Macaca fascicularis: one gene and its partner. The protein of the gene in region 2 purifies or fractionates together with the protein of the main gene of each other region. This does not show direct contact. Links are inferred from orthologs where the notes say so. Each region holds a gene or a part of one and is shown on either strand. Other genes may lie near its edges.

The links.
Region 1: the proteins of SLBP (region 2) and MIF4GD purify together in Homo sapiens (affinity purification with western blotting; 3 studies listed by BioGRID and IntAct, with this or other methods). This does not show direct contact. The link is inferred for Macaca fascicularis from reciprocal best matches to the Homo sapiens genes SLBP and MIF4GD.

Annotation. Positions count from the first base shown.
Region 1 is NC_088390.1:81,653,325-81,657,636, forward strand, and holds the end of MIF4GD (MIF4G domain-containing protein), read right to left. Parts: intron 2,670-4,312; coding exon 2,560-2,669; intron 2,380-2,559; coding exon 2,224-2,379; intron 2,110-2,223; coding exon 2,017-2,109; intron 1,292-2,016; coding exon 1,064-1,291; 3' UTR 555-1,063; downstream 1-554. Other genes in the region: MRPS7 (small ribosomal subunit protein uS7m), read left to right, coding at 30-251. UniProt on the Homo sapiens protein: Functions in replication-dependent translation of histone mRNAs which differ from other eukaryotic mRNAs in that they do not end with a poly-A tail but a stem-loop. May participate in circularizing those mRNAs specifically enhancing their translation.
Region 2 is NC_088379.1:1,832,845-1,835,571, forward strand, and holds the end of SLBP (histone RNA hairpin-binding protein), read right to left. Parts: intron 1,647-2,727; coding exon 1,530-1,646; 3' UTR 722-1,529; downstream 1-721. UniProt on the Homo sapiens protein: RNA-binding protein involved in the histone pre-mRNA processing.

The DNA of each region.
Region 1 (4,312 bases), on a different chromosome or scaffold from region 2:
ACCAACTTGCCTATGTCCTGTCTCCCCAGGTCCCTGTACCCCTACCCGACCAGCGCCGCCGCTTCCTAGCCATGAAGTGGATGATCACGGAGTGCCGGGAGAACAAGCACCGGCGGACACTGATGCCGGAGAAGCTGTCACACGAGCTGCTGGAGGCTTTCCATAACCGGGGCCCTGTGATCAAGAAGAAGCATGAAATGCACAAGATGGCAGAGGCCAACCGTGCCCTGGCCCACTACCGCTGGTGGTAGAGTCTCCAGGAGGAGCCCAGGGCCCTCTGCCGCAGCAAACAGTGTGAGCCACTGCCAGGCTGAAAGCTCCCTGTGGGTTAGGGATGTGGTTCCTTTGTAAGGGTGGGCAGGCCTCATGAGAAAGAGGGAGCAGCATGTTCACTATCCACGAATCCTTCTTTCTTTGAGGCTGGAACTTGCTCTCTCTGCCCCCATTTCCTTATAAAGAGAGAGCACATTGACTTGGGAATTTCCTCCAGGAAACTCAGGGCCGTCTTCTCTTCCCTTAGCTTGGGGTGGACCGTTGGATATAAAAGGAAGCAGTTTTAGTATTAGAAAAGATTTATTAGAAACTTCTCACGCTGAACTGGTGTAGCATGTGGTGCAGCATTCATTGAAACTGGCTGGAGGAAATAGGCTTGCTTCCAGAGTTGTCCTTGTACAAAATGTATAAAAAGCAGTTTCTGGTATGACTTGTGCTCTGCCTCCGCCCGTTGACATCCCAAAGCATCCCAATGGCTATGCTTACCCATTTTACAGATGGGTAAACTGAGGCACCAAGGTAGTAGTTGCACTAATGGTTACACAGTGCAGTGGCTCTTAGGAGTTGCTCTTCTCTGCCTGGCCCTGAGGGAAGGTGGTGGGGAAAGGGGCTCAGGGCAGGACCATGGCATAAGTGGGAAACATCTCACCAGGAGATGGGAAAGTCTAGAAGGGAAGACACTCAAAGTCTGGAAGGGAAAAGTCTTTGGGTGAGGCAGAGACTCCACTGCCAGTTTCAGAGGTGTGTAGAAGAAAGGCCAGTGCTGGCAAGGAAGCCCTGATCTGGAGGCCTAGTCGGAGACTTCGCTGTAATAATACTTGTGAGCAGCTGGCGTCGTCTTCCAGCCGGCCGCCCGGAACTCAATGATCTCCAGCAGCAACAGCTGGGCCAGGGAGCTGAGGCCAGTTGGGAGCAGGAAGCCATCCCGGATCAGCACAAAGAGCTCATCCATGCGCTGCCCATTCATTTTCTCCAGCTGCTCCCCGACCCGGTGCAGCTGTAGCACCAAACAATCCACCTGCAGGGGACGGCGGGGGGTAACACGAGTGAACTGGGGCAGGGTCAGCCTGTCACACAGCATTTGCCAAGTGCCAGGTGCTGTGCCTTGCCTTTACACTCATTCCCTTGCTCCCTCCTCACCATCCAGTGGGTACTTCTTCACCACTGAAGCAGAGCTATCACTAATGGTCTGAATTTGACTGGTTTTACAGCTCTGCAGTGTTAGTAGAGTTTTGCAGGAGCCAGCTGTGCTGTGCTGATGGTATCATTCTCTTACTCAAGCATTTTCAGTGGCTCCTAGCAGACTTCCACATCTTACACAGAAAGAAATGAGTTCCGGGACTTCCTGAGGTCCCTCGTCTGGCCAGGCTCCACTCAAGCCTGTCTCCAAACCACTCCTTCATCCCGCTCTCCTGCCTTCCTCACACTGCCTGACCCTGGTTTGGCTTTGGGGCCATCTGTACCCACAGCTAGCCATGGCTCGCACAGCTGCCATCAGAGATTGGCTTTCTGACTGAGAAGGAAGCTGCTGAGCCAGTAGGTTTTGGCTGCTGTCTGTATTGGATAAATTCCAGACCTGGCAGCTTGTCCTGTAATTCTGACAGGCCTTAAACACCCCCACACTCCTGCCCCAGAAGTGACACCGTCCTAAAAGGCCTCCATGAGCAGTGAGCTGACACTCGGCTGAGCCAGACTGTCCATCCCGCAGCCTTCTGTGCTTGTACCGGGGCTGGGGCCACCCACCTCCTCCTCCTTGCTCAAACTGTCTGGCTGGGCCAGCCGGAAGAGGCAGTCATAGACAGGGTTCACCAGAGCCATCATGGGCATGTTGTTCACCTGTGAGGGAGAGGAGGGGTCAGAGCACCAGGCTTAGTGGCCGAGGGAAACAGTCCAACCTGGGCCTCGGGTGACAGGCCATGTCGCCTCCCAGGGTGGCTGCCGGGGCCTCACCCTCAGGTAGTCAAAGATGTTGCAGATAAAGGTGACATAGCAGACCCAGCCCTGCAGGGAGCGTGCTCGCAGCTGCTCCCGAGCCTGGTACTCCTGCTGCAGCCGGTTGAGGAGTCCACGCCGGAAGACACTCTGGCCTGCTTGTTTACTCTCTGCCTGTGAGCCAGGGAGAGGAAGGTGAAGGGTGGGGGGCGGTGCCCCTGCAACCCCACCCATCCTATGCCTCTTTATGTCTTTGAGCTAGACCCTATGCATCTCTGTCCTGCAGGCCAGGCCTCTGCCCACTCCTGAAGCACTTTCCTCAAAGCAGCTTCCTTTACTCTCCCGACCCCCAACCTGAATGATGGCGTAGCACATGCGTCCTGCTTCCTTGCTGAACACACAGTCCTGCAGAGAATGGTCCACAATGACATTGGCCACTTTCTCCAAGTCCACAGCACCCGGATCTAGGGGTAGAGATATGAGGGGAGCCTAGAGCTGCTGCTTTATCACATTTGCCTCCACCTGCTTCTAAGAACTTGAGATATTTAGAGTAGAGCACTCTCATATGCTTGAAGTGAAAGAGATCAGAAATCATACAGAGGACAGTGACTCCAGTGGTGCAATCAGCGCATGGTACTTACAAGAAATGATGGCCGATGGGGGAGGGATTGCATTGGGAGTTATACCTGATGTAAATGACAAGTTGATGGGTGCTGACGAGTTGATGGGTGCAGCACACCAACATGGCACAAGTATACATATGTAACAAACCTGCACGTTATGCACATGTACCCTTGAACTTAAATTAAAAAAAAAAAAAAAGGCCGGGCACGGTGGTTCACGCCTGTAATCCCAGCACTTTGGGAGGCCGAGACGGGTGGATCACGAGGGCAGGAGATCGAGACCATCCTGGCTAACATGGTGAAACCCCGTCTCTACTAAAAAATACAAAAAACTAGCTGGGCGAGGTGGCGGGTGCCTGTAGTCCCAGCTACTCGGGAGGCTGAGGCAGGAGAATGGCGTGAACCCGGGAGGCGGAGCTTGCAGTGAGCTGAGATCCGGCCACTGCACTCCAGCCTGGGCGACAGAGCGAGACTCCGTCTCAAAAAAAAAAAAAGAAAAAAAAAAAAGAAATCATGGCCGAGCTCAATGGCTCACGCCTGTAATCCCAACACTTTGGGAGACCAAGGTGGGTGGATCACCTGGAGTCAGGAGTTTGAGACCAGCCTGGCTAACATAGTGAAACCCCATCTCTACTAAAAATACAAAAATTAGCCACGTGTGGCAGCTTGTGCATCATCTCATGTCATCCTAGCTATTTGGGAGGCTGGGGCAAGAGAATCGCTTGAACTCGGGAGGCAGAGATTGTAGTGAGCCGAGATCATGCCATTGCACTCCAGCCTGGGCGACAAAGCAAGACTCCGTCTCAAAAAAAAGAAAAAGAAAAAGAAAAAAGAAATAATACAAAGGGCCCGGTGTAGTGGCTCACGCCTGTAATCCCAGCAGTTTGGGAGGCCGAGGTGGGTGGATCACCTGAGGTCAGGAGGTCAAGACCAGCCTGGCCAACATGGTGAAACCCCGTCTCTACAAAAATACAAAAAAATTAGCTGGGCATGGTGGTGGGCACCTGTAACCCCAGCTACTTGGGAGGCTGAGGCAGGAAAATTGCTTGAACCTAGGAGGCGAAGGTTGCAGTGAGCCGAGATTGTGCCATTGCACTCCAGCCTGGGCAACAAGAGAGAAACCGTCTCAAAAAAAAAAAAAAGAGAAAAGAAACCATACAGAGGACAGTAACCATACAAACAAACAGCTTTAGCCTGTCTGTCTGCTGACTGTTGCCCAGTCAGAGAAAATGGGGAGGGGTTATGTGGCTGGTAGGAACCAATCAAAGTAAGAATGTAGTTTCTCAGGAAACACATCTTTTCCTGGCACTAGGTTGAGGAAGGAATACTAACCAGGACATGCCTCCAACAGCAGTTTCACAAGTTTGTTTTTTTTTTTGAGACGGAGTCTCCCTCTGTTGCCCAGGCTGGAGCGCAGTGGCCGGATCTCGGCTCACTGCAAGTTCCGCCTCCTGGGTTTATGCCATTCTCCTGCCTCAGCCTCC
Region 2 (2,727 bases):
AACAAGCTAAGTAAACAAGGGCTTCTGCCCTCTTCAACCTCCTAGAACAAAGTTACCTGAGCCCACCCCTGGCTTGAGACCAGCCCAGAATCACTTGGAGGGATCTCCAGGACATGTGGCTGTGGTCATGGGCCAGTGGTCTGCAGGCAGCAGCCAGGGTCCAAGGGTGAAGACAGTGGGGGAGGGGCACCCTCAGACTGATGCTTGTCCTGCCACAGGGTCTGTCCCAGGAGACAGGGAAGGCTGCCATACCAGTGCTGATAAGCATCAGACCAAGTATGACATGACACCTACGAAAGGCAGCCCCCGGCCATGCGCGGTGGCTCAAACCTGTAATCCCAGCACTCTGGGAGGCTGACGCAGGCAGATCACCTGAGGTCGGGAGTTCCAGACCAGCCTGACCAACCTTGAGAAATCCTATCTCTACTAAAAATACAAAATCAGCTGGGCGTGGTGGCACATGCCAGTAATCCCAGCTACTTAGGAGGCTGAGGCAGGAGAACCGCTTGAACCCAGAAGGCCGAGGTTGCAGCAGGCCAAGATCGCACCATTGCACTCCAGCATGGGCAACAAGAGCAAAACTATCAAAAACTAACATTAAATAAATAAAGAAAGCCCTTTACCCAGTGCCACTCGCTTCAGACACAACAAAGGCAGACACAACTCTGACCCTCGCTCTCATGGCAGCTGGGCCACCTGGCAACACCCTCAGTCACTTAAAGAAGGTTCTTTTCTTTTTATTTTTGCAATATCCCATACAAAAGCAATAGAAACAAAACAGTCTTAAGAAGTTTACAATTGAATATTTGAACAGCAAATCTGTACACATTATCATTTACAGCAATTTTACATGGTAAATTAACTGATTGTTTTAAAATGTTCTTTCTAAATCGCTCTGCTCTGCTGCCCTAACTCTTGGAGTATTCTAAAGAATCTAACTAGTGCTATTTACAAGTACCAAATTAAGACCATATAACTTACATAAAACCCATTAGTTTAATAGCTCAATTTAACAATGTCTGACTTCAGAGTGCTGTTATGACATACTGGTAAAAGGCCAAAAACTAAGTTTCCATAAAGATATTAAAGGTGTCTGAGAATACTTTGATGCCTATAAAAGTAGCTGACTCTCAATTGGTCCCATGGATTACATGGTTAAATCCAAAACAGTCCATCTGACAAGCAGCAACTGAAGTGCCTGTGGAAAACCAGTTAAGTAGGCCTGTCAGCTTACCCTGGAGGACAACAGGGATTATGCAATTAAGCTTGCTGGAAGATTGCTTCAAGTACACTTTCTTGGATTTAGCGCCATTTACAATTTAAAACATGCAAAATACACTCACTATACATAAAATTAATGTTTCTTATTAATGTTTCTTAAGAAAGTAAGGCAAAAATAATTCATCATGAGATAATGGACTACTAACAGAGAAACCACCAGGTATAAGTGCACACACATGCTTGGTGCCTGGCCAGCCTTCCACCCAGTCGGGGAGGAGCTGTTTCTCTTCCTGGCCGCCAGGTGGCAGTTAGCTCATGGCCGAGAAGTCTCTCAAGGGTTCAGTTAAACAAGCTTCCAAATCAAACTCGTCCTCCACTTGACTGTCCATATGTCTAACCTTGGTGGGTGTGCCAGAGTACACATCCTGGAAAACAGAAGCATGGGTCAGCTGACATTCATCTCACCCTGAAAACAGGGACCACTTCCTACACCCCCACAGCTTATGTGGTAAATCATGTGACGTAATGCACAGCAAGGTGTACACTTCATGTGCAACTGAGATTTTAATAGTGACACTGCAAAGAGAAACCACATGTACTATTTACAAGACACTGAAGTTTAGATGTACACACATTTTATTTTTATTTTGTAGAGATGGAGTATATGTTGGCCAGGCTGGTCTTGAACTCCTGGGCTCAAGCAATCCTCCTGCCTTGGTTGGCCTCCCATTGTGCTGGGATTATAGGAAGGAGTCACTAGTTACTGCACCTGGCCATGTACATAGTTTATAAACACAGAAAGAATTCTAAAAGCCTAGACAACACCACAAATAGTGGCTGTCTCAGGACAGGAGACAGCATTTAAATTGATACATTTTAAAACTGTTTTCTTTTGAGACAGAGTCTGACTCTGTCACTCAGGCTGGAGGGCAGTGGTGCAATCTCGGCTCATTGCCACCTCTGCCTCCCAGGTTCAAGTGATTCTCCTGCCTCAGCCTCCTGAGTAGCTGGGATTACAGGCCTGCATGACCACACCCGGCTAGTTTTTGTATTTTTTTTTTTTTTTTTTTTTGAGACGGAGTCTGGCTCTGTCGCCCAGGCTGGAGTGCAGGGGCCGGATCTCAGTTCACTGCGAGCTCCGCCTCCCGGGTTCACGCCATTCTCCTGCCTCAGCCTCCCGAGTAGCTGGGACTACAGGCGCTCGCCACCTCGCCCGGCTAGTTTTTTGTATTTTTTAGTAGAGACGGGGTTTCACCGGGTTAGCCAGGATGGTCTCGATCTCCTGACCTTATGATCCGCCCATCTCGGCCTCCCAAAGTGCTGGGATTACAGGCTTGAGCCACCGCGCCCGGCCTAGTTTTTGTATTTTTAGTAGAGACGGGGTTTCACCATTGTTGGCCAGGTTGGTCTTGAACTCCTGACTTCAGGTGATCTGCTGGCCTCAGCCTCCCAAAGTGCTGGGATCACAGGCGTGAGCCACTGTGCCCAGCAGACGGTTTTTTTCTT